Linked DNA regions of Struthio camelus. The protein of the gene in region 1 interacts with the protein of each later gene in a pairwise test. Links are inferred from orthologs where the notes say so. Each region holds a gene or a part of one and is shown in the gene's direction. Other genes may lie near its edges.

The links.
Region 2: the proteins of RAPGEF4 (region 1) and BMERB1 interact in binary tests that used the Homo sapiens proteins (3 or more experiments, as listed by UniProt). The link is inferred for Struthio camelus from reciprocal best matches to the Homo sapiens genes RAPGEF4 and BMERB1.

What each region holds. Positions count from the first base shown.
Region 1 is NC_090947.1:22,440,504-22,456,740, reverse strand, and holds the start of RAPGEF4 (rap guanine nucleotide exchange factor 4), read left to right. Parts: upstream 1-9,266; 5' UTR 9,267-9,368; coding exon 9,369-9,433; intron 9,434-16,237.
Region 2 is NC_090956.1:11,641,135-11,657,593, reverse strand, and holds the start of BMERB1 (bMERB domain-containing protein 1), read left to right. Parts: upstream 1-9,656; 5' UTR 9,657-9,661; coding exon 9,662-9,935; intron 9,936-16,201; exon of another isoform or gene 16,202-16,322; intron 16,323-16,459.

The sequences.
Region 1 (16,237 bases):
GAACCTGGTAATTTCAGGGGACATGAAATGGAAAGACTTTATTCCTTCAGGAAAATCAGAGAACACTGAAGACAACTGAAGAGCTCTGTAAAGACTGGCTATACACTCTATAGTGTACTCTCGAGCTTGCAGATTTGTGTAATTTACTGTAGAACCCATGTGACTTATATGTGAAAAACCCCATACTTCAAACTGAGTATTTATTGCTTGCTTTTATGTTACTGTCTAATCACTAACATATTTTTAATTTAGCTAGGTCTTCTCCTCTTGCTTTTACACACCTCATGATTGCTATTGGACTACAGGGCTACTACAGCTGGGTTTCCTGTTATGCAACACAACAGTCTGGTTTTTAGCAACAAATGTCACCTATCTGTCCCAGCCAGGACCCAGCCCACAGCCATGACAAATTTTTCTCCCTCTTACCAATTGGTTCACCTTTATTTCTCAGCCTGAATATGTTATTAGGGCTGTCTATGCTGTATTCAGCTCAGTCCTCAGTCATTTGGTCTGAATTATTTGCATGTATAAGCCTGCAAGCAGATTTGTTGCAAGGTATATTTTCAAAACTGTGAAAAAAAGCCTATAAAAATTGAAGTATGAAATTATTTTATATAAATCTGGGGCCTACTATGTCATTTTTACCATACAGATGATTGAATTTGTCTTATTTGCCTAATGTCATTATTTGTTTTTAAGGGTGTGTGTTGGTGCCCCCAGCAGGCTCTCTGAAAAACTAAACCTTTACCTCTGTGAACTAAACCTCACAGAAAGAACTTACTTACTGTACAGTAATGAAGAGAATAGCTGCATTGAATATATATGAAGCTGCATAATGAAGTGTTACATAAACATGTTCTGTCATTTGAAGTTGGTTTGTTCTTCAGCTATAACAAGGCCCTACTGCACTGTATAAGTAAATATACAGCTCCGTATGTTTTCATTAGAGTACTCCTATAACGTTAATTACAATCCTGTCCTTCTCAGAGTAGTGAAGAACACCTATGTAATTAAGAAGCTTAAACAATGACTACCTGATTAGGACAGTCGTAGAGTTGCTGAATGTCTTTGACTTTCATTGAAAGAATTTATGGAATTATTGCTTGCACTGAAATCACTTGTAGGTTTTATCTGAGTGGCTGCCCCAGGACCCCACTTTATGGAGTTGGACCTATACTTGTCTATATTCTTGACTAAAAAATAGAATTTGCTGAAAGTAATTAAAGGACTTGTTTCTTGTTTGTGTTTTTAAGCACTGCAGATCACTAGTCACTGCTGCATGTAAGGTCTTGTATTACATGTCCCAGTTATATGGGACTCATTGACAAAGCTTGTTAGAAGTGTTTATTTTATGATGAAGATAATTCTTTATGTATGTCAGTTTTACAAAGGAGGAATCTGTGAGACAGTTAAGGCCACTCACCTCTATATAAAAAAAGCAAAAAAACCCAAACAGGCACTGTGAGAATTACAGCTAGAGAGAGAAGGCTATTGAAACGCCTGTGAGCCACAGGACGTTTGCCAAGAATCTTAGTATCTTGTCCCTTTTTCCACTGAAATAATCTTTATTCCAAAGAGAGGTGTGGTAGATTTTCTGTGTGGTTGCTCACGCAAATAAAAGTCTCTACTGCTGAGAGGTTGTTTCATGAATTATAACTCATCATGGAGGAAAATGGGGTGATTGCAGTCAAATGGCATTTTATGCCACACATCTCATGAACAATATAGAAATATAGATAAATAGAATCCTAACACTGGATCAAAGGGCTTTGTTTTTTAAATACCTATGCATCACCACTACTTTTGTGAAAAGAATTATGAGCAGATATATTTGATTTCTAGAACCGATTGCTGGGAGAAATGGGGAGCAAACTTTACGAATGAAAGATATTTCCTTACAGTGATCAAATGAGGTTGAAGATGAAATCTATTTGAATGTCATCTAGAAAGATCAATATTATGAAACTAAGGGACTTAGAGAGGATCATTACAATAAATTCTCTCAAACTATTGTTGGAGATAGTAACCACAAGGACATCTAATGGGCTGCCTTGCTTACAGGAAGTCCCAGGCCTTGCCTTGGACTTTATCCAGTAAAATGATGACAACTAGCCATTTGATGAAAATAAATCATGATAGCCTAATGGCTCTAATAGCAGCTGCAGCAAATTTAGGGGCAGGCCATGAAGTGCTGCTGTTCCTGCCAGAAGTATATCCATGTGGGTCTAGCAGAATGACAACACTAAGCTGACAAGATACAACTTGGACCAGACAGCTAGAAATGTGTTCATCTGGCTCTGCAACTAAGCAAAACCACCTTTCTTTTTAGCCTTTGGTGAAAACTTAGGCTCACTGAAATACAGCAAAGCTGGCAAGGAAGGATAAAGGAATATGGACATGGAATTACACATACAGAAAGTAAGAATTTTGCTTGCTTTTGTAGCTCGGGTGAAAGGAGGAGGGAATAATTATAATCCAATGACCAATTCCATCAGCTTTGGTAAGTTAAGTACGTCCCAGCGAAAGCGAGACACTTGAGCTGACAGTGCAGAGCAGATAAGGTACAGTGGAGCCTCCCAGTGCATGCTCTTGTCAACATCAGGGTCTGGCCAGGCCCAGAAGCAGCAGAGCTGCTTTCAGGTAGTGCAGAGCTGAAATGACATACTTGCCAGGCCCTTGTGGTGTGTGGAGAGCCAGACTGGGACTCCAGGCAACCTATTCCTATGACTGGACAGAAAGCCAGAGACCCTGCAGGCCAGGTCTGTGATTCAGCCCCAGCTGATCAGTTTGATTTGGGCACCTGCAGAAGCACTGAGGTACCTGTGCTGTGCTCCCAGGGTAAGGAGCATGGCGGCAGGCCACGGGGTCCAGTGTGGCACTTAAGTTCTACTGCCTCCTGGGTGTTGTGTTGAAAAGGGACATTAACAGGGCTCGAGACCCAGTCTGCCTCGTATCTTGGGCAACTGCAAAGTATTCTCCTGATATTTATCATCTTGAAATTCCTTACGTTGTCCTGAGCTGTGTGTATAAAGTTCTGTTTAAACCCAGGGTGTTAACATGTCTGTAGATCTAAACACTAAAAAATTAAAGAATAATGTACGTAAAGTGGGGCATCTACTGCAAAGTAGCATACTTCATCAGCTAATTAATCTTTACAATACTCTTGTAAGGAAGTTGGAATTTGTTATTTATTTGTTTTAATAGGCTTTTTTTTTCCTGTGAAATATGAATATGAATGGAAATAGGAATGGGAACAGGAATTCCCAGCCCAGCTATTAGGCCTTGACATAACTGAGGAAGCAGATTAAGCAGAATAGCCCCATTCATACCTCCCTCTGCTCATCTAGTTTCATAAATCCAGAAGAATTTAACAAAAATCGTGTGGAGAAAATTCCTATTAAAAAGAAAGTAGTTACAGTAAAAATATGAGATGGATGCCTATCCATAAGGTTGTCAAGCTTATTTCATGTTGGGTGGTTTCTCCAAGTCTTTTTGGAATTCATCCCAGAATATGGGCTCAGATTTCAGGTGTGCAAATCAAATGACCATCTGTTCGAAATGCCACTCCACAGAAAGGTTTTGATATTGGTCATCATATTGGAAAAAAATTCATAGCATTTGAGTGCAACATGCTGCTAAACTTGTGCCAAGTCATAATACAAAAAGTGACTGCTGCATCATTTTTTGTTAGTGAGAAATGTTATCACAAATGTATTGTAATTAATGTTATGAATTTGAGAGAATTTTATTTCAAGGAATATAAAACTAATAAAATGCTCCCTGTTGCTGGCCTTTACTATGACATAAGCCTTTATTTCACATTGATTAAGAGAAGGCCAGTGTTAAATTAGGATGAGTAAAACGATGCAAAATGCAGCACTATACATGATGCATGGATAAGCAATCCTTTTCTGCTCAGAAAATCTGCATATGCAGGTATGGCATATATAAAATTGCACATACACTGTAAGTCCAGTTACCTCTTTTGGTTTCAGGAATTTAGGAAACAGCCCAGCCAGTTTCCTAAATGGCTGTCTCCAGCCATTTAGGAAATGTTTCCTAAATGTTGTCTCCAGCCCAGCTGAAGACAACAGCAAACTGCCAAATAATTTTAAAGACCTCAGAATATGAACTTTATTGTTTCACATAAAAATTGGCTCAGCTGTACTGCCTTTTCTCTGTCTTGCACCTGTGTTCATGCTATGCCTACTATATAGGACACTGTATGTTTTCTTTCCAGTATATCTGTTGCTAACTGTGTATCTGTATCCCACTTACACCTGTTTTGCTGCAGGCAATACTGACACCTTTTCTGGAATATCATGGTAGAGCTATTGCAAGAAGTATGGTAGAAGGGTTTCCCGAATAATGGGTGGGATTAGAGTCACTTGCTCAGGGGGAAAGGCTGATAGTGCCATGGTCTTTTTGAAGAAGGTGCTATGAAGCATACTGTGGAGGGGTCCTGAATCAATGAGGAGGACAGGAGCAAGAGAGAGAGGAGCAGGGAACGGTCTAGGAAGGAGGAGGTCTTAACTTGTGCTAAAAAAGTCTTTGCTATGTTATATGACGGGTCGAAAGAATTGTGTTGGAGGGGAGACTCAATATGTGTCTTGTAGGCTCCACAGGACAGCGTTATTAATACATGCATTGGTTTTGGTTTTGCACATCACATAGCATCACATCTTCTGCAGTGCTTGCAGCTTACAAATCCCTAAAGAACTCAAACTCTCCTGTCTTTATTTTGCTACATCTTGATTACTCCTTTGAAGTCAATGGGAGCTGTACAAGTGGTAATACATTTGGTTCCCACAACCCCAGCCATGCTGAAAGTGACACTGCTAGATTCTAAATCTGCATCATAATTCTGTTACACTCACTCATACTGACTTTTATTTACAGGATCTTTAAGTGATACGTTAGCTTAAACTGTTCTTTGAACTAGAATCTGTGTGCTCATTCTGGGCTTACGCTAATTAACTTGACTTCAGTATAGCAACAAAAAAACATGCTTAAAATTAGCTTAAGTGACTAACTCTGGACTCCTCACAAGAAATGGAAATCTTGAATGCTTTAAAGCTGGTGGAGCTGGCCTTATCTTACTCTGTCTCCCAATTGTATTTTAGGGACAAAGGATTGTAGCCAATGTCTTGCGCTATGAATTAGATTCAATTCGGTTAGTCTGAATTAGAATAGTCCTGAGGCTGAGCAATACTTCAACAGATACAGGAAGCAGAGGAGTACGTTGGTGGCTGGGAGCCAGCTGTGCTTCACCTAGGTTCTCTCCTGAACACAGATGGCCAAAACTGAGGACTGAGCTTTTGGGGTTTTGAGTGAGTTTGCTGCAAAATAAAATTGCTTTAGTGCGCTCACCACTGTGATGCCAAAGGACAGGTTACAGATTCTGCATCCACTAATTCCTCACTACATCATAACAGCAATTTCAATAGTATAGAATAGTATATAGAGCATCCAAAACTGCTGTAAAAATACAGCAAGCCTTACTGCTTTTTAACAGTTTAACAGTTGTTTGAAAGTTCATGATATAATTAATAGCGTAAAGAGGTTTCCACAGTAGACCTCTTTCATGCCCTGTTACTGTGCACACCTTAATAAATACTTTTAATAAATATTTTCTTCAAGCTCTAGCAACTATCATTTACTCTTTCAGATCAAGTTTTTCAGTTTTAGTAGGCTCCTGGTTTCTGGAAGATTTTGAGTAAGAGTTCTTTGGCCTTGTTTGAGTGAAAAAGTAAAGGAATAAGTATTTGTATTGGGAAGAAAAAGCAAAGAAATAGCTGAGATTTGAAATATGGTGTGATCTGCCTTATGTCCCATAACACAAACAACAGTCTGGACCCCGCACTTTCTGACTGTTAGTCTTAGAGGGACAGGAGAACTTGGAGGCTGGCTGATTTCTGTTTTACCCTGGCTTAAGAGCTTCAGTATGGCCCTGTCAGTCCTTTGTAAACTGTGGAAAATTAAAAAGCTAGCCGATCTTTCAGATATCTCGGCTGGCATATTTCCATTTCTCAGCAGCTGTCTGCTTTGGGAGCAGTTACCATCCCAACTTTTTGGCTGCATAGTGAAGTCTCATAAAATCGGATTGTAAGATGTCCCATTCGCCTTCTGTTCTAGAGAAAAAAATTAAATCTGCAACGTTATTGTGGAATTCCACAAATGCTGAAAAATAAAAATCCATTTCTGAGAAACATATATTCATCACCAGTCATTTTAATGGTACATCATCCTTCATGTTTTCTCAGGTGAAACTTCACAAAAGGTGTAATAGAAGGAATGTGTAGAAACAGGTGAGATTGAGCATGAGTGTGTTTTTGGCTACTAACAAAACTGAGTCTCAAATATCCTTTGGGTCCTCTCTTTTTCAAATGAGTGTGTAGCTTAGAAAAGTAATGAAGAATGGGCACTATGAGGCACCAGGAGGAGATCGGTCCTGACAGCAATGAAGTGCACTTCAGCATTTTGCTTCTAGCATATGCTCTTACTAGTAGGTAAGTGAGCACTCGACCCCATTAACGTAAGACCACTGCTCTTAAATGACATGTTATGGACTGAGTTCTCAAGAGTCACAGGATATTCTGCATTCTGTTTGACTTGGGTTATCTGTCCTATGAGATATATACTGCTTATTTGGTAGCTTGTACCTCAGGAGAACATGCCATGGGCCGGGTTCAGGAGTTATGATTTCAGCAGTCAGGAGCTCCTGACATTTCTGTGCAAATTGAGAGACTCTCGTCAACAGAGGCAATATCTGAACTCATCACATATTTATTTATTCCTTGCTTCACTAGTTTCTCTGAGGAGTTTCACTCACGTCTTAAGTAGAAATCTACACAATTACTCATAATTGAACTGCCATAGGTATATTTTGACTGTCCTGCTTTAACTGCTGTATAAGACGCCACTTCTGAGTGGAGTATGGATATATCCCAGGGTTCCTCATGTCATTATTCCTTGCCTAATCAGGGCCCGTCTAGCTTGCATAATCCACAACATGTTATACAGCTGTCACTCCACAAAAAGGTACATCTCTGAGCAGTGTCTGCCTACAGGTAGGCAATTGAGGAACATCCTCTCACACCTACATGCGCTGCGTTGGGACCAAAAGTACTGGGAACTGCAGGGGTCTGTCCCAGGCAGGTAGGTTGCTTGTCAGGGGTAGGCGCATGTGCACCGACACAGGTTTTACCACAAATTGCATCCCAGGAGAGTATTCCAAAGGTCTTGCCTTTTCAAGCAGGGACTGCTTTCTTCTGCTTACCAAGGAAGTATCCCTGCTTACTGCTGTTTATGGAGACCTAGTCTGTCCTCTAGTGGTTGGGTCACTGAACATCACACAGATGTGAAAGTACTTGGCAGAAGATGGCTTGAGTGAACACTAAACATTTGCAGCAGCAGCATTTTGCTGACTAAGCTACACTGTGGTTATGTACAAAATCGCTGCTACTGGTATGTGTAATGCTGTTTGTGTCAGTAAAACAGCCTATGATAAAAAGTAAAGGCCTTTTGCTAGGAATGACTTCTGGGCTGCTTCACAGGCCTGATGTCAGTAAGAAGAGCATCTACTACAGCTTGGAGTGCGTTGTGGGGAGCAAGGGCAGTAACGGCTGCCTTGTGTGATTGTTCTGGAAGGAAAACTGCAATTATGTAGAATAATGTGTTTAACCTTCTATAAGGGAAGTGCAAAATTAGTGAGCCTTAGTGCGTCACCTATAATGTACATACTACACTATAAATCATTGGGAATTTAGATTATTTTTTACACTTGAACCTCTTGCTCTGCTGTTGGCTCCCAAACACTTATATATTGAAGAATGAAAAACATTGATTTTCCTCAAGTAGACTGATTTGCTTAGATGCAAGAATTTCTCATTTTCCCCACCAGGGACTGCAGCAAAGGAAGAGCTGCAGCTTTGATCTCAGTGACTGGTGGCCTCCTCCATTCCTCTGGCATGTACTTTAATTTTTTTAAAGGCAAAATAAAAGAATCTGCTTTTGTGCCATTTTCCTCTGCTCTGTCTCCTCTGCTCATTTCTTAGGCACGTCCTTTTAGCACAAGGGATTTTAGATACATTTCCTTAGATTTTTGATCCTACTGATCAGAACCTTGATGTTAACATTTATTTCTGTGAAAGTGTTGAAGGAGCCGTGGCAGAAATTTGGCCGTTGAACATAGATGTGAAATGTGAAGTAGTGCATGTATATGAGAAAGTGATACTTGGTGCAGCAAAAGACATTAGAACAGAGAGCAAAGAAGACAGCTCATGGAGAATTGTGGGAAGTCACTGTCAGATTATTGGCATCTGAATTAATTGTTTGTGTCCACACTATAAAGCAGAGAGGAGTTAGGAGCCTGAAGGAAGCCACAGTTTAGTTTTACTTTGCTATCATCTGCATGTAACTTCAAACATCCTGCTGAGCTTTGTGCAGCTCCCTACCCTTCTCCCATGCTACTCAAGGCAGGCTGTGTTGACTCTTAAGCTGAAGCTTATGGTTACACACAAATACTTGGGAAGATACAATCTAGATCCTGACATGTTTTGTAGAAAACATTTCACACTGAGCTTTGCAAAACCTGGCACTCAGGGAGACCTGCTGCTCTGCTCATCACCTTTCCAATTACGCCTGTACTAGCACCCTGAAAGCAGCTGCATTTTGCAGGCCAGGCGAAGGCCACAGAGCCAGGTGGCTGTATTACATGGTACCCCAGACTTACCCTTCTCTTGCCGCATGCTGAGCTCCTCCCCGTTGCTAAGTCCCATCCACAGGCTGCACTGCTCTGCTCAATCCTCACCTACAATAAACCAGAGCCTTCAGGACACGGTGTCGCGGAAGAGCACGGGATGGATGGCAGGCTGGGGGAAGGCTTCCCAAACACTCCTCAGATAAGGAGTACACCTTCCCTCCATCCTGCTAGCGTGGGCTAGCGGGGGGCACGGCAGTCTGCGGAGCTGCTAAAAGACCCGTGAGCTACTTCTTACAATTAAAGAGCCTGTACTCCCCCGCAGCCCGGTCAAGGGCATCTCTGGCCCAGCCGCGGCCCCGGCCCTCCCCGGAGGGCCGCAGCGCTGCGGGCTGGGGCGCGAGGCCGCCACGCAGCCCACGCGGGCGGACACGCGGCCCACGCGGCGCTCCGCACCCGCTGCCTGCGGCGGGGCGGGCGGCGGCGGCGGCGGCGGCGGCGGGGCCCGGGCGAGCCCATCGCGCCGCGCGCGGAGGGAGGGAAGGAGGGAGGGCGGGAGCGAGGCAGGACGGAGCGACCGACCGACCGGCGGGCGGGGGGAGCCGCCGCCGCCGCCGCCGCCAGCCGCCGCCAGCTCGGCCGCAGCGCGGTCTGATCCCTGCCCAACATGGTCGCTGCTCACACCTCCCACTCCGCATCCTCCGGCGAGTGGATCGCTTGCCTCGATAAAAGGTATCGGCACCTTCACAGGAGCGTGTGTGTGTGTCTGTCTGTGTGTCTGTGCGCGGCTAACCTGCCTCTCCGCTCCGCTGCGGATCCTGCCTTACGTAAGGAGCGGGCAGGTGGGAGGCACAACGCCCGGAGGAAGCAGCGGCGGGCTGGGGAGGGGGGTAGGCTGAGGGGGTGAACTCGCTCCTGGCAGCGGCAAGGACGGGCCGGTCGCCAGCGGGACAGCCGCTCTCCGCCGGGCTCTGCTGCCCGGGGAATACTGCACGTGCTGGAGGAGGGGAGCTGCAGGGCGGGGAGGCGGCGGCGCGGCGCGGCGGCCCGTGAGGCTGGGGCTGCCGGGCGGCCCCCGCGCTGCCCGCCATGGCGGCCCCCCCGCTGCCCGCCGGGCTCCCGCCCGCGCCGCGCACAGCACCTCACGGCACCTCCCCCCACGGCCCCGCGCCCTTCCGTCATGGCATCTCACAGGACCGCACCGCCTCGCCTGCCCCTTCACCGCCCCGCACTGCTATCACCACCGCACCGCACCGCGCCTCACCACGTTGCACCTCACCACGTTGCACCTCACCACGTTGCGCCTCACCGCATCTCACCTTGCCGCATGTCACCTCACCTCACCACGTCGCACCTCACCTCACCACGTCTCACCTCACCTCACCGCACCTCACCTCACCTCACTGTACTGCGCCTCACCGCATCTCACCTCACCGCATCTCACCTCACCGCATCTCACCTTGCCACATATCACCGCACCGCACCTCACCTCACTGTACCACATTGCATCGCACCGCATCGCACCGCATCTCACCTCACCACGTCGCACCTCACTGTACCGCATCGCACCGCACCGCACCTCACCTCACCGCATCTCACCTCACCACATCGCCCCTCACTGTACCGCATTGCACCTCATCTCACCTCACTGCATCTCACCTCACCACATTGCGCCTTACTGCGCCTCACTGGATCTCACCTTGCCGCATATCACCTCACCGTACTGCACCTCACCTCCCTGTACCATGTCACACCCCACCTCACCATGTCTCACCTCACCTCAGTGTGCCGCATCGCACCTCACCTCACCGCCCCTCACTGCATATCACCACCACACCGCATCGTGCGCCTCACGTCACCGCACAGCGTCGCACCTCACCACGTTGCACCTCACTGCATCTCACCTTGCCGCATGTCACCTCACCTCACCACGTCTCACCTCACCGCACTGCACCTCACCGCACCGCACCGTACTGCACCACACCGCATCTCACCTCACCACATCGCCCCTCACTGCGCCTCATCACATCTCACCTCACCGCATCTCACCTTGCCACATATCACCGCACCGCACCTCACCTCACTGTACCACATCGCACCGCATCGCACCTCACCACATCGCACCTCGCAGCACCACACCACACCTCACCTCACCGCGCCGCATCTCACCACCCCTCACCTCGCTGCATCTTGCCCAGCCGCCTCGTTGATCTGGCAGGGAAGGAAAGAGCCCGGCCCCGAGCACTCCGCCGTGCGGGCGGGTGAAGGTCCCTTGGCCGGGCGTCGTGCTGCGGCGGGCAGCGCCAGCCTCCCCGGGGCGGCACGCCTCGGGGCTGGCCGTGGGCTGAGCGCTCACAGCAGGGCCTGCTCTTGGACCACGCGATGGGGCTCGCGGTGAACGCAGCGCGTTAGTTATCGCTTGTTGTGTTCAAAGGTGAGGTATTCCCTTAAAAAATATAGATAGTAAATATATATTTTTTTTAAGACATTTTTTGAAGTGCTTTCCCCAGGGTCTAGGAGAAGAAGAGGAAAGTGAATCTTGCAGTGTCTAGTAAAACCATGGTGGATGGTTTATACATCCTTTGCTATATCATTACCTTTAACACTTACTCGATTCAAAAGTGAAATCAATCTATTTCTGACTGCTCACTGTGTCTCTTGTAGTCTAGGACAATATTAAAAAAAATTAGAACAAAAATAACTGTACACAGTTTAAGCAAAGATATCAGATATCACTTATACAGAAGTACAGCTATTTGCTGAGTATCGTTAGGCAGATTTTGACAGCTGACATCATTTGGGGCTGTGTTACAGAGAGAATCTTTTGTATACGTAGAAGAAATTGTCTCCTCTCATCATTTCTACCATTTCCAGGTAACTATCTTAGTGTGAGTAGGACTGCACCTCTAATTGTGTTTCCCTTAATAGTCCAAGCAACAAACTGCAAGAGGCTAAAGAAACTTTCAGACCGGTCACCTACCACAAATAATGTCAGTCAGCCTCCCCGATCCCTCTCTGTAGCACAGGATTTAATTTAAAGGAAAAAAAAACATAACTGTTTAGAACTTAAATAATATGTATAAATGTTGAAAGTATTCTAGACATAAATTCAGGTGATGGTAACCTAGTCATACAAAAACAAATGATAGGGAAGCTGAGGACCTGATTCATCACTCTATAGACTGACACTGAATGAGCGTGAAGAAGTAGAGAATGAGCCCCAGTACTTTTAAATAGGTGGGCCCGTCATTTCTTAGGCTACTTAAATGTAATAGATTATGACATTTAAATTGAGAATTAAAATTCAGGGGTTCATGCTTAATGAGGAGTCGTGGGGAGTGAATGATGTTTTTAGGAAACACATTGAAGTATTTCATTTAGAAGTTTCTCTGCCCTTTTCTTTCTTTCTTTCTTTCTGTCTATCTATCTGTGTGTGTGTGTGTCTATCTCTCTATCATTAAGATACAGGCGATTTTTACTATAGGAGTTTTGTTAGAGCTGTTAAGATGAAACTTTTTTTTCCCTTTTTCTCACTTGGAGTAAGCTAGTAGCACCTGTTTGTTGAATGGAAAATATCACTTACAGTTGCCCTGAAGGACTGTTGAAGCAGCATGCTTTCCAGAAGACAGTCGGGATGTGGGACGAACCCAGGATGTGAGAGATTGTACGCTTTTTTCTTGTTCCTGCCATACTTTTACTTTGTGACCATAGGAAGTACACATACATGTTTTGTTCTTCTGTTTTTCCATTTAAAAAATACACTTAAAGCTATATTGGAGACATACTATAAGAGTCTAGGTAGTATTAGGTTTAGCATTTTTGAATAATTTATACACTTGTATTGCTACAGTGTATTTTCTTTGGATGATCTGTTGTTGCTTTACTAATTTGAGTTATCGTGTAATTTCTATGCATTTTAGGTATTTGTCTTTTTCTTTATCTTAAAGCATTTTCTAACCTAGCTGTGGATTCTCTAAGTATAGGACCATTCATTGAGTCAATTCACTGTAGGAAATTATGTATTTTAATTAACTATTTAAGGCAGTTTTGATGTGTTTTAATAAATAAATAAATATATATATTTTCAGGAGGAAGGCAATTCTACAACTTCTCTTGTATAAGGAGAGTCTCAGCAAAGACAATTTAAATGACATGGAATATGGATTATCTAACTTCATTCTTTAAAAAAAAGGGAATTTTACTTTAACTGGAAATAGCAAAACCCATTATGTACGGTAATGATGTGACGTTAAGTGCATGGCATGTTTCTCCCCAAGTCACATACCAAACTAGAACTACTAACATCTAAAATGCAAGCATGTTTTAGATGTTAAACTAATAAAGAACTATCAAAATGTTTTATGAGAAATGTTATTACTGTGTGGGGTACTGTGGGCTAGGGCCGCCAATGCTTCAACCATGCAACTTCCGGATGTGGTTACTAGCCACAAAAGCCAAAGATCGGCACTTAAAAGTCAAATACAGAGGACAGTATTTATATATAAAGTCACGAGCCCGAAGGTAGTGAAAGGCAGGAACAGAAAAGGTCAGAAAACTATGCTCTGTCAATAATATTTTATTTTTGCAGCAGAGAGAGATGATCAGCAGTTAGCAAATGTGTATTCTGGTTGCACCAGGACATGTAAATCATTTCTCTGGTAAGGAAACCAATCCTTCTATCCTTGAAATAAATAATTGTCTTACCACTGGTTTCCTAAGGACCAGAAGCATTCTTCTGTATGCCCTATCTGTGCATAATTAGAAGAAGGTTGCTGGTTTATGCATGTGTGTATATTTAGCCAAGGAACAATGTCTTCCCTACTCTCAAGGCTTCTTTTAAACCAAAAACTATCTAAGTAGGTCTCCATGTAGACATATAATTACTGCATAGTAGGCAAAGTATTTTTTATATAATTATGATTTCTGTAAACCTGATCATAGCTTCTAATTCAAAGAAGGATTTTAACTGAATTCAAATACAAACTTTTAAATGATGTACAGTGTTCACAACAGTCAGATCATCCTAGGATTTAATATCTGCTATGGTATCATGTGTTTTCTCCTGTATTAAATATAACCTTCAGTGCCGTAGCCGACTGGAGGAGCAGATCACAGAGCAAAGCATGTAACTTTTGCTAGCCTGTTGTGCTAAGAATGTTGTGATCTTTGCTAAGCTGTTTATAAATTATTTAAGTATGGAAGAGTGTTTTGAGGACGTATTGTACATAGTGAGTTTTTATATCCTTGTCATCCTGGTAGACTTTAGACTTGCGTTATTTACATCTAAGAAAACCAAAATAACACCTACCAGATAATGTCTCAGATCTATTCCTTAAGCCAAGCTCCCACAGATTTGAACGTAAGTTCAGACTAAAACTAGATAACAACAACATCCTTGAATTAGGATTTGTCTTTTAGTTCATTGTAACATATACTTGAGATGTAAGTTTTTCTCACAGGCTTAGCAGTCAACAGGACTTCTGTGATTATACGGATAGGCTAGAAAGAAGAACTGTTAATCTAAAAGGAGAATTTTTGGTAGCAGAAATAAGAAGGAAAATTATTTTACTTAGCTTGTCATCTCCTGCAACGTATTATCTCAAGGATACTGGGATATATACTTTATTAATATTAATATTTTAAAATTGCTTTATGGCACTATTTACTTTTAAAGATATTTTAAGAAATTGAAAAGAATACAGTGATTTCTATATATTTTTAAATTTCTAGACTTGCTTTTTATTTATAATAAATCCATATAAATAACTTCATCATTTTCCACTTAGGTGGGATCAGAACAAAATCTTGGACATACATTGCAGCTCCTATTGGCCTTTGTGCTTGGGGTTTCCTCTCTGTAATATGGGGCTAAGATGGTGTATGCTTGGACCAAGTCTGGGTGGGGATATATTTGCAGCAGGCACCAGGATGTGGAAACTCAGAGACAGAACAGTATAGACATAGCCTGACTGCTTTCTAGCATTCATGCAAAAGTGCGGTCTTCTGAGAGTGATGCATAATACCAAATTTTTCTTTCTGCATCATGCAACTCATTTTCTAGTCCAATGCAAAGGTGCAGTCTTTGATGAATAATAAAAAAAGCCCTTTTTCTTTCCACCTCTCCTTAGAGAGACCAAAATAAGTATTAGTATAGCCTGCCGTAAGCTCTCAACTCTCTGCATTTTGTTGAATACATGAATTCAAAATAACACATAGCAAGAGCGTGAGTTGTATCCTGAGCAAATTTAAGCTATTTTATTCCATGTCATCACAGGTTTAGGCTTCTCTGTAGTATCAGCTCCCATTTGTTCCATGTGGTTTTACAGTAAGTCATAAGTTTTATGGAAATGTGTTAAGAGGAAGACAAAATGATTGCCCTGGAACTGATGTATATAAACGTCCTGGCCCACCAGAGCGGACTAATGAGTGCAGTGCCCATTAGGACATACTATACTCGAGTTTATGTGGAAATCTTCTGGAGTGGCTGGACGATCAGTGTATAGTCTTGCAACGATAGGGTTTCTCTTTTACCAGACACAACTGAAAACCTACCTAAACTGTCATTGTCTGAGTTACTTCTGGCATGTTGTTAGCATTTAATCCCTGAAGTCCTATATTCTGTGCAGAATTCTGTACAGCAGTTAATGATGCAGCATTTTTTAAAATATTGCTATCTTTCTTCCTTCGGTCCTTTAGATTGAGGGCCTAATTCTCATCTACCCTAATTAAGGCTCTTTGTGCAGTCCTGCCAGTCATACTTGCATTGCTAGACCAATGTGAAGGTGGGGTGTGATCTGAATGGAAAAAAAAAGTAGAGTTGTGTGAAGATTCCTATACTTGTAGAGGGGAAAGAGATTTATGACTTCTAAACTAATGTTACTCAGAGCCTGGAAATGCAGATTTCATTGAAAATAATGTGCATGCCAGTTGTTTTGTGTTAGTAAAAGCAGGAGTGTTATTGATAACTAGCATTCCTAAAGAGAGCGAGTGTTCTGTTTTGATGTTTTTACTTTTTTCATGAAGAATTATTTTTGCAAGTTAAAATTCTATTTTAACAAAATCCGGTATTCCAGCAGAGGAATAAAAAATCAACAAACCAGCTAATTGAAAATCATGTCCTGAAAGACAGGTGGTCATTGGATATTTATCAAATACAAGTATTTTTTCATATCCAGCATGACATCTGTTTTCCCTCTGCATCTTATTATTTGTTGCACTTAACAAGCTCATCATTCTTATACTTCCTTCTTCTGTTATTATTTTCTGTGCTGTATTTGACATGATTGCAACTCTTACTGTCCTGCTGCTTAATCAATATCTTCAATGAATGTTTCCTGAAGTGACTTTCCGCTTCATCCTTGAATTCGGCAGCTGTCAAAATGTGTGTATGCCCATGGAAATCTGAAGAAGTTATTTCATAGTTGCTGTAAGTTTTAAATATTCATTGGCTGTAAAAATGCAGACCCTAAAAGGGTAGAGGTGCGTTTAGTATAGCGTATTTGTGGATGGCAGTGGCCAGGGTTTGAATCAAAGTGT
Region 2 (16,459 bases), on another chromosome or scaffold:
TTAAAATCTGAATTTGGTAAAATGAAAATTTAGAAATGTATTTTTCTATTGCAAATCTTCAGCGTAAATGAACCTCCTGTACTTACTGGTATCTGAAACACATACTTCTAGGCTTGGAAAATTCACCAGAAAGCCTCCATCTTTTTCACACCAGAAACAACCAATCAGGACAAATGCATAAAATAACCAGTTTCATATTGCAGCGAAGGTGAAACTGTCTGACTTTAGTTTGGTACTGTGTCTGATGGGTAACTTCTCTGTGTAGGGTATGACATCTGAAATCTATGCAGCTTCTGCATCTCTGCTCTAAGTGCCAATGCTTTTTGCTAGTGCTGCTGCCTCTACTGCTAGTGCCAGTGCAGTGAAATGTGCAAGAGATATTTGAATATTCTGAAACAGTGAATTTCAAGTTGACTGTATTTTTGAAAAGGCTTAATAAACATTAAATGTTGTTCTTTGGCTCTGTCTTCAACTAATGTATGTATAAACAAATCCATGTCCTTGTGCAAAGTTCCATAGGATCCTCATGAATCACAAACAGCAAAGAACTCGCAAAGGGCTCAATTTGATGTCACGTGAAAAAGAGGTACCTCCCACAGCATAGGCCTTAGCCCAGGAGCAGGGTAAAAGGTAAGCAGGGATTATTCACTACCTTTAGAGGTTAATGACGTACTTCAAGTCATCTGCCACTTCGGAACAAATTCAGAACAGAACTTCCATCTTTAAGGCCACTACCACTGGACTTAATTGCTCTCTTACTAAAAAGAGGTAAAACTTCAGGTTTACTATGTGTTTAGATAATTAATATAATCACAGAAGGTACTGGGAAATGCAGGTAGGAAAAATGTATAAAAGGTTTCAGGAACAGAGATTAGCAGTGGGGTCCTTATTAAAGGACTGCACTCACTGTAGTTTGAGTGTGATATTCTTGGGAAGGAAACCGTCCAGTAGGTTTAAGGCTGAAATAAGTAATGTATTCCACAACTGGAAGAGAGACAACAGCTCCATTCCCTGCTGTAAGTTCTTGTATATTTAGAACGAGGAGGAAGATTTATGGAAAGATTTCAAGTTGAAAAATTCTGTTTCATAGTCTTCATGGCCAACAGGGACAAAAATGATCGTTCAGTCTGAACCTTTGCATAATGTAGGGCAAAGAGCGTTGCCTAGTACTTACTGAATCAAGGCAATAATGTCTCATGAGTCTCATGATACCTTTCAGAAAGGTATCTGAAGGCTTCAAATAACGGAGAATCTGCCACAACCCTAAGAAATTACAACTGACTGTGTATTTTTGTTAAATTTTATCACTGTCTAGCTAATCTTACTCAACCTAGTTTTAGCATTCTGCCAGGATATTGTTATGCCTTTTCTGACTAAAGAGTTGATACGGTAGGAAGAGCCTTCTGTGTGCATGTATTAGTAAACTGTTCAAGTTTTTGTTTATTCCTCAGATAAGCTAAATAGGTTTAGCTCTGCTAGTCCTATGCTAAATCATTCTTGAAACTCTTTTGTGAAGCCTTTATTGCTGTGCAACCTCCACTTTGAAAAGTAGACAGTAATCCTGTAAAAATTAATCCCAATAACAGTTTCACACACGCCTCACAGATAATATTTCTTTCTACTTCTGCTTGGTATTGCTGTGCTTAAGCAGCCAAAGACCGTATGTTCTGTCTTAATTTCAAAATTGCTCTGAGAATTCACGTTTAATTGCCTGTCCACAATGATCAAAGTTACGGGAATCCATTTTAAGCAAGAACAAAGAATGCTGATTACATATCTGTATGATCTTTGCATACGCTATTCAACAGCATCTGCCTTGGCAAACACTACTTTCCCTTTTTTGTTTGCAGTTTATTACTTTAAACTGGCAGTGCCCAAAGGCTTGCACTGTATATCTAGATAGAAAAACAGTGACTTCACTGCGAAGAGCATGGTAAAATGCATCATTCCCCTACATACACCACTAGTAACAAGTACAGCTGTTTGTGCTGAGACATCTCAGCACCAGAGAAGAGTAATGAGTTCCGGAGCATGTTTGGAAAAGACACCGTCAAGGACAGCTCTGCCGTAACAACAGGTACACGAGAGAAGTTCAGAAGCAGAAGGATGGGCCTCTCCATGCGCTGGGTTCCAGGAAAGACAGTTGTCAAGCAGGGCTGTAAGACAACAGGTAAAAAAAGACAGCAGGTCCGAGTCTGCGCTCACCCTCAGCTGATGCTCTTTGTAAGTGAATGTAATGTTTTCTGTCTGCCAAGAGAAAACCTTAAATACAGTTTCTTGGTGCAGTCACTCTCTTCTCCATTTTGCGGTGTAGAAGTCCAGACTGATTGAATCAGAGTCCAAGAAGGAGCATGAATATGTAGCCTAATAGATAGTTCAGTCACCAGGGATATGGGGAGAGTGGAGATATGCTGTTCCCAGTTTCGTTGCTGTACTTTATGCAGTTACAATCAATGTAAGATGCATAAGCACTCAGATGGCTGTGATAAGTACAGTGCCTGGGCCATATGGACTCACAAACCATGCACACAAAGTTCTCCGCCACATGAGCTCCTTTATCTGTGGAGGAAGTGTCAGCTTTGTTCTGAATTGTGTGTCCTTTTATAGGGTATAATTTTGTGGCCGGGTAAAGTAAAACACACTTGTCTGGAATCAGTATATACTATAAGTAAGGTATGCACTAAGTGTGTGCCTATGTAAGAACAAACCCTCACTCTATTTCTTCTTGAGTGATTTGTCAGAAAAGCAGCTTCCCTCTCATTGCACCAATATTCAGAGAAGAATCTACAAGCCTTTTGACTGGAGTTCCCCATTTTCCATCCCTAGTCTTTTCCTTTTTCTTGTTCTGTTCTGACATTGAGAAAGCTACCTCTCAAAGTCTGCCTGCACATGCTGTTCTCAGCCGACCCCGTTGCCACTAACCAGCCCCCAGCCACAGCTCAACGTAAAGCTGCTGCAGAGTTCAGCGAGGAAGCCTGCAGTAGGACTACACACCAACGCCGTTTACAGGGGTTTGCAAAAGGCAGGTTAGAAATCTCTTTTTGAAGTAAAACCATGGTTATTTAACTACTAAGGCTGTTTAGCTACTTCCATATGATGCATCACATGCTTTTACATCCAAAATGTAGCAAAGGTTGTTAGCTGCAGCTGGTCTGCCAGTAAGCCAGTGACACTGAAAGGTGTTGCTCTAGTTGTATGCTTAGCTCATAATCGTCATAATACAGTAATGAATGGTTATGTGCGTGTAATAATTACACCTGATTTTATACGGCAATTACCTATACAGTGCTTTGCTTACTGTTACATATGCAATTCAATAGCGTTTATTGTCTTGTGTATTTGCAAGTCTCCTAAGAGGGCGCAGACCCCTTTACTTCACCATCTAAACGTGCTGAACGCAAGCATCTGTGCTGTGTGGCTGTGGCCACCGTCCCTGACTCCAAAGCCACCAGCACGATAACGACTCACCGGCACAACAGCCGGTTCAGTCATTGCGCTGAAGATGGCTCCGAATGCAAAAAATAAGCCTGTTGCAAGGAAGACTTCCCTACCTGTGGTATTAGTAACGTATCTGACAGATGCTGTAACAGCTTCTTCTGTAAAATTTGTAGCTTAAAAGGAGAGTGAATATAGAAATAGTTTATTAAGAAAAAAACTAAAATGGGATGGAAGAGTTTAGAGACAGAAGTTTCTGAAACCTGTGTTATGGTCACAGCTACAGCCACTGCCCCATGAAAATTGTTTCCTTTCTCTCTACCAGCCATATATGCCCTGTCTTTTTTGTTACTGCATCTCCTCCTGAGTTTATGCTGTCTCTTCTGACCATCTATCCAGAAAATTGCTGAGACAAATCGGAATAAATGGAAGGTCCTGGGCTACCCATTACTAATCTCCCAGGAACTTTTGCAAATAGGCTCAGCACAGGCGCAGGCCCAATTTTCAAACACAGGCACTTAAAAATTTGGCATACCCAAGCACAGGCCATTAACTGTTTTCATCTACAATCATTTATCAGTTCAGCTTCATTTGAAACATGTCTTGGACTAGCCAAAAGTTTTACAAGCTTCATCCACCCTGGATTGTGTTTTGGGAGCTCCATCTTGCAAGGGTCTGTCATGATACTCGGAGCAGACTGGCAGCCCCTGGTCCCCAGCCTTAGGTACCCCCCCTGGAGCAGCACCAGGCCAGGGGCAAGCTCTCGCAGCTCTTCCTCTTGCCACGGACCCCAGCAGCATAAAGCCAGAATCAAATGACAGAGCTTTGCAGACAACATTGAACACACAAGCCACAAGTATGGGGACCACTTCTTAAGCGCTTTTAAGTACTTTTAAGTGCTTTTTTGGAGCAATTAAATGCTCCTTCTACTTAGTATTATCTAAATATTTGCTATCTCAGAGCCTACTTAATTGGACAGATTTCTAAATATGGAATAAGAAAAATAGTAGCCGGACAGTCAGAAGCTGTAGCTCCAGTGCTGCCAGTTAACATTTATCACACACAGACATCAAATCATAAGCAGGAATATGAAGTGATTCAAAAAATAGTAAATTTTCCCTAGAAAAACAATTTCAAGGACACAGAGAACTTTAGCATAGTTCAACTCAGACGAGGTGAAGCATGTCACATCTAGCACATAATTAGCCGCACGTGGTTCACTAACGTTTGCCATTAAATGCTTGTCCTTTGTTTCCATAGTTCTACTAGAAATTCAGCTACAGAGAAATAGTAAGAAGTTAAATACATTGTCATTTTTTTCCGTGTGCATGCTTGATAAAACAGCTAATACTACATTAAAATCAGCGCTACACTCATATTTCATTTGGACGCATTAATTTAAAAATTTCAAAAATCAGAATAAGATGACACTAATAAACATTTAGGTAGAAATATTTATGAACATTCAAATAGTTGGATCACCGGCTTACCTCAGAGTCATGAAATTAAATTCAAGGCACCTCATTCACCTTTTAATAAGCTCTTTGGAATGCCTGCTTGCTTTTAAGCTATAGATGTACTTTTCTATCCTGCCAGGGTAGCAGTGGAAAAGGACCAACATCCTAGCTATTTAGCTGCAGCCAGTGCGAATTATTTATGAAGTTACTTTAGCCTAAAATATATTTTAAAGGAATGGTTAATGTCTGGGGAAGCTGTAAGTCTAAATAAATAAATAAATAAGTAAACAAAGGGCAGTCACTAAAGATTTTTTTTTCTAATCAGAAAAGATTTAGAAAAAAGGAAACAACGTCATAAGGACTCACATTGGCTTATGAATCGAGGCCCTCATTCTGCACAAGCTGTGCTACGGCCGATTCCCCGCACCCCAGCCGAGCCTCAGCCAAGCGCTCACCGGCAGGACCAAGGCTTCCAAGGGCACTTCCATGCTAGCACAGAACTGAAGGTGGAAACAAGCAGGAGGAAAGTATCTTCTGGTTGAAGGATCCTCCTGTAATTGTTAGCTATCCCTTTCCCTGCTATTTTCAATTTAATTAAATAATATTTCATTATAACTGTTTGAAAAGCAAATGAGATTAACTTTTGCCTAATATTGATCATTTAGGGAGAATGACAATACAAATGCCTAAGAAATAGTTAGAAAGACACAAACCTGATTTTCATACTATGATTACTTGAATTCATGATACACCAGGGTCCCATCTACTCAGACAAGCTCATGCTGTGCTACAACACAGGCTGGGGACACTAACACACGAGAACCCTTTTCCCCCTCGACGTACATCTATCTCTATAGACTGGTCATAGCGATTCAGAAAAAGGTGACATATGACGGTACAGGTTTACCACTACAACTCCCAGGACAGCGTGTTGCCCCTATAACCGCTGCTCCAGCCGTAGCCAGAGAGCTGCACAGATCCTCACCGGCAAGGAAGTGTGGGGCTGAGTAAGGCTTTGCCCACTTGCCCCTCCATGTGCCACACCAACAACATGGAGTGGGAATTTTAGCTACAGCAGTTTTAGACAATCCTTAGTCTAGGTTATGATGCATCGGACAAAGCCGAGTCTCTGAAAAAGTCATGAGTTCGCTGAACTTCAAGCGCAGATAATATTCATTCTTGCAGAGATGATTTTACGTGGCTGGTGTCCTACAAGACCACCATCCTGTTCAGGGCTTGCGTAGGTTTGCAGCCCACAGCTGCTCTGCTGCATCGAATCCTACAATGCACAGAGCATCACGAAGTTAAGTGTGTGCCTTCTAAAATGTGTCTGACTATCAGGTTTGCCAGCAGGTATGCATTTGCCTGTAACACTCTATCACAGCCTTTCACCTGCACCAGGACATTTTTGTGCCATGCACATGGCGCTCAGTAGGTGTGATCCTGAGGTGACAGAGAGCACAGTAATGCTACACAGTAACTGTGTGGAGGCTGACGCCCCTAAAGGCTCCTGTGTGTTGCTGGAACAGCTTGGGGGGATGCACAGGGTACCAGGAATAGCTGGGGAAACTGTGGGGATTCGGGACTGCAAAGAACCCTAAGAGTTGAATGCTGAAGATTCAAGAGGCAGGACGATATTTTCACAGGGAAGTAAGATTAACCTTGACATCAAATATCAAAGAATTGTGGTAGATCCTCTGATGTATAAATGTCCTGAATCAAGACTTGGTATTTAGGAAAATATAGGATAGATTCATAGGAGTCTCACAACCTGTGCTATGCTGGCAGTCAGATTACATGAGGACAGTACCCGTTCTGTCCCTATAAGGTATGGGTCTAGGAATTTATGCATACCAAATGGAATAACTACGCATAATCCACTTCATTTCATTTTATTTCATCAGTTGAGTGGCAGGTTTTTATTATAAATAAATGAAAACTCTGGGCAGAATGTTAACACTTGCTCTTATTTTTGAGTTAGAATGACTGTACTGTCTGCCAAGGAACAACAGCCCTGACTCTTACCTTCACTGTAGCCCACCCCAGACCCACGAAGAAGCTTTCAAGAATCCTCCTGGTGTACCAGATGTGCCCACAAAGGCAGGACAGCTTCAAGCTAGATGTCTCAGGTGCTTGGTAAGCTACACGAAAGCAAAGACCATTGCCCCTCAGCTGATTTACAAGCCATGCTGCCATTAGAAATTTTGCCCAAGTAAGGCATGCCCCATATATATAGTGTCATGCCTGTCGTGGGAGATCACTGCTGTATAATGGAGGCCAAAAGAGCAATAGATAGGAGAGTAGATGTGCCAACTGCAGTAGACCAGCTATAGCTCCTGATGGCAGGACCTAATTGAGAAATGGGTAAAGAACTAAGGGAACTCAAGCAGCCGGGGGAGCTGACTGCAAAAGCAAAGTGCAGAAACAGTGCTGTGTGTTTCTGCCAGGCATTATCTTCTGAGCGGTGAGAAGAGACTGGAGTATTTATATTTTCTTCCTTCACAGTGCTTTCAGTAGAAGAAAAGTAACCCTTCTGAGTAGAAGAATGTGTTTATATTGCTGAGGTGCACTGAAGGGCATCATCAGTAGGGGAGAAATTTAATTCCACTTGCAAATGCAGCACTGAAAACGCCCTCATATCACAACAGCAGAAATGTTAATCTTAGCACATTAGCAACATAATTGGTACATACTATGCCCCAGTCTTGCAAAAACTGTGCAAATAAACTCAGCGGGACTGCTCCCACATGCCTGCTCATATGTTTAACTGTCTTCAGGGCTGGGCCCTTAATGGATTTTATGACTTCTTCAAAAAGGCAGGTGAAAACTTTCTAGTTACAATAAATCATCGTATATATTCTTTGCTTTACATAAGGAAACTGTGCATCCCACCTTCTAATTAGTGGGTGTTTTTCTTCCATTCTAACCAATATAGGGCTTAAAATATGTGATCATTTCTAGCCTCCTTCTACCATCTCCTAAACAAAGCACTTCTTTGGTTATAATTACCCAGAGTACTTGAAGGGACGGACTGAAGCTAAATAGGCCCAGATCCACCAGAAATTGGCCCTTCTCCCTAATAAGTCTGTTTCCCTTAGTCCAACTCTCATCCAGATCCCAGATGGGCTCTTGTCTTCCTCCTACGCTCGTGTTCCTCACTTCTACAGTGAGTCAGTCCAGCCCACCCCAGCAGGCAGCTGCACTGTCACCCAAAATCAGCTGTGCACAGTACTGCCACCAGCTTTTCTGCTTGACTCACAGCTCTGTTTGGGCTCCATCTCTAAAGGTCAAAAGCAGCAAAGATGCAGTCAGCAAGAGCTCTTCCAGGAGGCCTGGTAGTCAAATCACAGCAAACCCCTGGGGAGCACAGCTGATAGGGAAAAATTGCAGTGCCCAGAAGACCTTCTAAGATAACGTCCAAGTCATTTTAATTTGGCAGTTGATTCCAATTCTCACACACATACAAATATAACATGGAGAGCCATTTTCAGAGTAACAGTTTTGAAATCGATATTGTCTTTCTCCCAAAATGTAAAGCAAGCCCCCTGCAAAGCAAAACAAAACTGCTCATGAACCTAGTGGCAACGTGCATCAGTCCATTTAGTAAGTATACCACTGAAAATAGTGGTAGTGCTTTTGTAGCTTTGGTGGTTAAAGAGCAAGATAAAGTTTATAGGCAAAGGCATGGGAAAAACGGACAAGCTTTCAGGCACGCAATACACATTCAGCACTGCCAGTACCCCATCACTCCTCATGAACCAGACAGGGAGTCCCAACGTCTAAAACACTGACTTGCTGTGGGGAGCTGGGCAACCGGCCTAACTCCTGCTTCATCTTCTCTACATTAGCAGTAAGGATAGCACTCACAATAAAACGCAATGGGAGTTTACAAGTAAAGGCACTCTGCAACTGTAAAATGCTGTGCAGTGGTTTCATACAAATAAAACCTTTCCTACCACAAATGAAAAGAAAAAATTAATAATGGCAACGATAATTAGTGCCACACTTGTGCTTCCTGCATAGTCACTTCCTTCTCTTCTAATCCCAGGAGGCTGCATGAACAGTGAAGCTGCATGTTTATGAAAAATACATACGGTTATGAGAAACACAAAATCACATCGTTTGTTTGGGTGCTGTCCTCTGGCTTTTGCGAACATGAAGCCAGAACGGGTGTCACACCACTCTGTGCAGGACTTTCAGGAAAGACAAAGGCTGCACGAACTGCACCAGAAACGTGTCTTAGTGCAAAAGCCAAGGGTGCCTGCGGAGCTTACTGGCGCCCCTGCGCTGCTCAGGCCAGGAGATGCGCTCAGTGCTGCCCTCGCCACAACGAGACGAGACAAGCCCGACCTCGGCGCTGTGGCAGCAGCACGCTCACTAACTCTTGCTTGCCTGCGTTGCTGCACCTATTCAACGGGAGTAAATATCCCGGGGGAAGGAAAGGGCAAAGACGAAAACAGCTAGTCGACAGTTCTGAACTGCACGGCAGCATGCCGGGGACCTTTCGAGGCCAGCCTGTCCCTCGGGGCAGAAGGGAGGGATGGGAGCCGGTTATCGTGCGGCTGGCCCACCCTGGAGAGACGAAGCAGCGCGGCTGTGCGGGCGCGGGAAGGCAGGAGCCGGGGGGGAGCCGGCGGGGGGCAGAGCTGGCGGAGAGCGCCGGGGCAGCAGCGGGCGGCGGGCGACTCCCCGCGCCCCGGGGGGGGAGGAGGAGGCGCCGCCGCCGCCGCGCTGTGCCCCGGCCTCGCCCGGCCCCGCGAGCACTGAGCATGTGCGCGCCGGCCCCCTGCCCTCCCCTCCCCTGCGCGGGCTCGGGCTCGGGTCCGTGTCCGCGCAGAGGGGCGGGAGCTCGGCGCCGCCCGCTGCCGCGCGGGCCGGCCGCAGCCGTGCGCTCCCGGCGGCATGGAGTGAGCTGCGGGCTCCGGCGCGGCCCGGCCATGGAGCTGCGGCGCTCCATCTCCGCCAGCGCGGAGGCGGAGAAGCCGCTGAGGCGCTACGGGGCGGTGGAGGAGACGGCGTGGCCGGCCGAGGCGCTGGGCAGAAGTGAGTGCGCGGGGCGGCGGGGGCGGCGGCGGGGGTGCCCCGGGGCGGGGGGCGCGGGCCGGCCGAGCCCTCGCCTTGCCCCGGGGCCGGCTGGCGGCGGAGCAGCCGCTGTCTCCCGCCGACAAAGGCGTTGGGCCGCGGCGCGCCGCGCCGCCGGTGACCGCTTCGCCCTCCGCGGCCGGCGGGGGCCGAGCCGGGTCCGCTCCCGCCGAGGGACGCGGCGCCGGGCGCTCCCGGCCTCCACCTTGCTCGGGGAAGGCGAGCGCTGAGCTGAGGAAGGATGCCGGGGACATGAGCTCCCCGCCGTCGCTTGCGAGGTGGGGTTTAGTGCAAGGCGTTTTATAAATACCGGCAGCCTTCGCTGTACTTGCCGTTGGAAAGGCACAGATGGCAGGCGCGTTCTCCCTCTTGCCCTCCCAGGCGGAGGGTGCAGGAGCGCTGCCCTGCATTCCTTCCCTCAATGGTTGTACGGTATTCAGGAGCTCAGCAAAAGCTCTTTGGGTGCAAGAGCTTTTTTTCTTGAAATCATGATTTGTCAGAAAGCAACAGTTGATGCCTCCTTTCCAAAGTGCTGGTGGAGAGAGTAGTTACAAAGATCAGTAGCTGTCAATTCAAGTTATCCATGGGACTCCGTCTTCTCTAAGGTATCAGTTACTGTTTTATTGGCAGAAGTATCTCATACCAGTTCTCATTTTCAAGTTAACCAGAAAGGCTTTTTTTCCAAGGTTTTTCAAGGAACCTTAGAAAGACATTCACAAAAAGCTCTGTACTGATACAAAGAAAAATGTGTTCTAAGTTTCCACAAGAGTTTGATCAGGCCCCGGGAAGAAAAGCTTTGTGTAATAGGCATAGTGACATCCTCACCGAGGTCGATACTGGGGTTGCTGGTATTCCTGAATCACCATCCATCTTTTGATGTACATCGTGAGGTCTCGCATGGATGCCTTGTGACATCCTGCAGCTTAGCAGCATCCTGGTAGCAGGTTTTAGCCAGTGCTCCTGCTATGTTCAGACTTTTCCAACGCTGCTGTGTTCCTCAGGCTATGTTCTGGAATCATGCTTTACCTCTGGCTTCAGTTTTTCATGCATATGTTATCACATACCATATGCTGGTGACAGAGAGGTGTAAGTCTCCCACTCTGATGGTTCAGCTGCGGTATTGGTTTTGTTGCAGTGCCTGGCATGGGTTCAGGACTGAATAACTACTCACTTTCTGAAATGGAATTGAAGACTGAAATCGCTGTTGACTGAGTTGGTTGGTTCAGCCACATGCAACAGTTTTGCAGGTTCCCTGGCTGCCTTGTGCTGTTCTTGTTCTCATAAATAAGTCTGGTTTTGTTGCAGAGTCAGCTCACAGGCTGAGTGCAGTGCAGAGCTTGTAATAATAACTGGTACCTGGAGGTGACAGAAGGGTTATATGTCTTGCAAGGTTTGGATGAAAGATCGTTTGCTTGGCAGAAGGGAACACTGAGACAGAGGGAGGACTGATCAGCTCAAAAACGTGTGCTCAACATTGAGTTTCCACCTAAATTGCAACTTGACCGGGTACCAGAAGGGGCTATTGGCAGGACTAGAGCCAAGGTGGCGAGGCTTCTGCATCTGGACTCTGCAGCTGAGTTGCCCTTCTATGCACTAGATTTAGTTTAGTGAGAATATTTGTGTGTGTGTGTGTGTGTGTGTGTGTGTGTGTGTATGTATAACAACTTAGATATAGAATAGGAAGTAATCTTGAGACCACCGTTTGTTCTTTAGTCACCTTAAAAATCTACTATAATAAGACTTTGCTGCTTGAATAGTTGATCTGTTTGCTCATAGGCTTCAACTTTCCTGAAATACTGTAGAAATGCTATTTACATTAGTTGTTTTAGATGAGTCCTGCATCTCTTACCTATTTTAATATTAACATTGACTTGTAATTGGGCTTTTGAGTTGATTAAAAATAATAGGTCTTACTATTTGCTTTAAATGCTCCTGCACAACACAGATCCTAAATTTAATGGCGCAGTGACAACAGTCTTTAGAAACTCTGGGAAGAAGCTGGAAAATCATAATTCTCTTTTTTTTCCTAATGTCATCAATTAGCCATTGTTTTAAATATGAAATGCTTAGCATTAACAGAAGCAGGTGCCCGTTACTGCATATGCGTTTGCCTTTTTTACTGTCTTTTGACTGTTCGTTGTGTCTTATCATAACTTAAATCAGGATCTTTTTGGAGGTGGAACTTGTCATGTATTTGTACAACACTCAGCACAGTAGAGTGCCATTCCCTGGCCAATGCCTGTATATTTGACTGTAGTGTAACTAGTCACATCACAGGGGAATGTGCATCCTGATTATGTCCGTTACAGAAATAACATACTGGAAGTTAGGTAGTTTCTATTTGATTTGTTAAATGGAAAGGGTACTCTGTGCTAACATCTAGATCTGTGGTACAAAAAACTTGCTGATTATTGGTCATAACAAAGATGAGTTACTTCACGGCAATGAAGTGTGCTATGGAAATTTATTTTGTGTGATGGCTTCTTTCAGCCAGATCATCTGTAGAATTATGCTGGCTCATAGTAGCTGAGGATCTGAAGCCTTACAATGTGAGGGTGCAATGATCTCCAGTGGGTTCACATGCAAAGTATGAAGCAGATTGTTTTAAGGTGTCCCTTTAACAAGACGCTGAAGGCTCTTTCTTCACATACAGAAGGGAACTTTCTAGGAGTGGAGAATATGGTAAAGATGACTTCTTACCATATACAGAACAACTCATGCATTTTCTAGTGCATGCATGTAAAAGGCAGTCAGGCTTGTGAATGGACAGACTGTAATAATAAAGGGGTTACAGCCTTCTCGGTAAATGATCTTTACAATATAGGCTTGGGGAGCCTGCTCTGAACCAGAGCACTCGAGCATTTTGGTCAGTCCTCATTACCAAGTGCACGGCTTCATTTAGAATCATCTGTCTTGCCACTGGCAGGGACTCATAACGCCCTGGTTAAGTAACTGCGTGCCAAGCCTGGGAAATAGCCACGAGGAAACAAATCAGTTTTCATTGTCCTTTTGAACATCACACTTCTCAGATATATTTCTGCTGTTCTTTTTCTTCCTCTCTCTTTTTCCCTGAGGTCTGGAACTAAATTCAAAATTCAAGGTGAATGCCCCAGTTTCAGTCAGTACAAGCAGGCAGAAATGCTGGAAAGCTGCAAAGGAAGAGTTTTGATGCCATTTAAGCTGGCAAAAGAACTACAGTATTCTGGGATGTGTTTGCTCACTAAATGTCATGAAATTTGCTCGTTGTTTTCATTTGAATGGTGACTCAGTATTGGAGGTGAGCTGCCATACCTGTTGCAAAGACCACCTTTTCAACTGTTCTTGAATCTGAAGTGGAGATTAGGCCAAAAGGGCCCCATTACAGGCCAGTGCTGGAAGACCAAGTTAGAGATTCCCAGCAGATGAGACTCAGTAGTAACATATAGCCATCACAGGCAGCTTCCCTTCCTCCCCTGTCCTGCTGGGAACGTTGTACCACAGATTATACCCAGGCAAGGTGCCATGAGATGGCAATGCACTCCAGTGAAGGTGCACACTGCGGGGATTTTATCCACATAAATTAGACCAATCCTGAGATTGCTCTGGTGTGTTCCAACACCAGAAAGACGGCACTGTTTCCCGTTTCACAGACATCTTTGGCTGATGCGTTTGGAAAGCTTATTTCACTGTATTTGGGTTAGTTTATCTTAAAAACCTTTATAAACTTCTTATTCAGAAAGAGATGCTTGTATGTATTTACATGCTCCACTGCTGAGCAGTGAGAGTGGTTCAAACACTGAAAATATGTGCTATTTAACATTTGCGTTTCTTGGCAGCATAATAAGGTGGCTGTCTCACATCTTTCTGCATCCTTTTTGGTTCAAAACCAGTTTGTTTTAGAAGTGGTGTTCTGCATGGAGATAGTTCCTCTCAGCTTGCAGAAGCTGAAGAACTAAAAAAAACCAACCATAGATGGAAATCACATAGATAGTGACCCTCTAGCTGTGCCTTCTTTGCTTTTTGGTGAGCAAAGTATGAAGTAAAGGCCTTTACAGAAGACGGATCCTCTGGTTACGGGTACTTCCTTTATCTAATCCACTTGGAGCTGCTTGTGTCATCTTTAAGGCCTGATTTCATTAATGGAACAGAAGGGCTTCAGCCTAGAACAGAGTCTAGCTGGTAAGGTTTAATGTTACTTAATAACATTTTGTAATCATTTGAAGGATGTCTGTTGCAATATTAAAAAATCAATCAAGTAGCAACACAGAAACGCATTTGTCTTGCACAGCAAAGCATGCACTGCTAGCGCCCTGTGACGTCTGTCATACTGGTCACTAAAGAGTATTTAGGATGGGTTCATGTTAATCATATGCCTTTAGATATTAGGCAAAAAAGGAGGCAAATGCCAATTTCTTCTTGGATTTTTGTATCAGCTTTTTTAAATTTAGAGGTTTAGCAGCTCTCTGTATATCTAGCACAGATAGATTGACAGCATGTTGGTTCCTGTGAGATACTGAATGTGCTCCTGTGCATTTGTGCTTAGTCCTAAGCGACTATAGAAAAGCTGGCTTATTCAGACTGACAATCAAAGGTGGACACAATTCTGTATGGGTGGAGGGACAGCTGAATGTCCTTGTTCTTCCTCCCATATTGCTTCATGAGAAGGAAGGGTGGCTCGTGTCGCCCCATGGGATGGGGAAGACTCCCAGAACTGTAGCTGGGAAGACGCAATGGTGCTTAGGCCTGTCAAGTCGGAAACTACAGAAATTACAGAGTAATGCTAGCAATTCATGAGTTTTCAGCAAGAGGTGAAGAGATCATGAGCTGGGAATGACAAGGTGCTGAAGTTTACTCCCCAGTTAAATCCAAGGCTACATCAGTTACAGGAGTTTCTATCATTTGGTAGTTAAATTTTCAAACAAACAGCTTTGGGTCTTCTCCCATAGTGTCCCATGCATCCCACAAACATCCACAAAACCACTTCAGTGCTTTGCCTAAAACCTTTTGATTACTGTAACATCTCTCCAAGCAGTCAATAATGTGCTATGGCCCTGCCTATCATGTGATGTTTTCCCACAGTCTCTTCATGTTCCCATTCTGATTTAAAAAATAACGGAGGTTTCAAAGGCACAGATCAAAGTTATAAAGCCTTGCTTCCACTGCTGTCCTTTCATAGTCATGCCCTTGTGTTACTGTTAATTTCCCCAAATTGTTAATTATATCTATTAAAGGTGGTAAGAGAGACAAAACTGATTAAGCTTTTTCAGGGGATCTGCTAGGATAAGTCGGAAAGACACTAACCCCAGGAGATACACAATCAAATTTCTTTTTATAGAAGCAGCAAGTTTGTTGGCTTTATGAAGATCTGAAAACAGGCTTTAAGCAGGGAGAGATGGTAATTAATATTCTTCCCATGTCTCCATTAAAAAAAAAAAAACAAAAACCTGTGTAACGATTTTGAAAAGAGAGTGACCAAGAAATTCAAATATAAACAGTAAAACAATAATGATGGATCCCACTGTAGTAGACATTATTTTTCTGAGCACTCTGTTTTTAGAAAACATTCACCAAAATATTGTAATCATCCACAAAGACAGCTGATTCAAAGCATGAGGCTAGTTCTACATCATTATCTTTGCTTGTTCATAATTGTTAATGTTAACATATATGGTAGTTCAAGAGGAAAGGCAGCTTTTCGTCTCATCTGTGAAACCAAGACAAAACTCTACCCCCTTGCACACTGAAAACTGGTACCCTTTCTGAAAAGGACAGAGCCTTTTTCCTCAAGTCAATAGCAAAACTCACCTGCCTCAGTGGCACTCAGATAGTCTAAAATTCTGTTACACAGCTTAGTGTTTCTACAGATCACTGGTGGTTTTGGCCGGCATTAGAAACTAATTTTTCTGACTTTTTTTTTGCATATCTGCTTTTATTTGTACCAGGCCCTGATCCTTCTCCTTCTAGAAAATATTTCTTAAATACAGAATCTACCACAATAACCTCCACTAGGTCATCCCTGCGCAACCTGTGGGTCACAAGGGAAGGGTGTATTTCAGTTTTGTTTTTCTTCATAGAAAGCCAGGAGAATGATTTACAGAGTGAGACTAATCCAGTTTCTAATATCTCCACATTGTCTCCAATTCCTCCTCCCACAGCTGGGTGCTCCGGGCAGCTGCTGAGATAGACGAAGAAGGAAAAGGGAGAACTGGAAATATTTCAGTGCTGCTGAGTACCTTCCTGCTGGAATATTGGCCAATAACTGAAGGACTGGTGACAATTAGAGCAGCTGCTTTCAGGCGCTGCTTCATTTTGGTCTTCCAGTCTGCAGAGCGCTGTAGCACAGATCTCCGTAGGGAGATACGTTCCTATCTGGTGACGGAAATAAAATCAGTCAATGGGTCACTGATCAGCCCTCACCTCCATCATCTCCCTATCACATTTCATGAGTTTTGCCCTTCCTCCTCTTTTCTGTCTAGCTGTGGCCTATGTGTCTCGTAGGCTTCTCA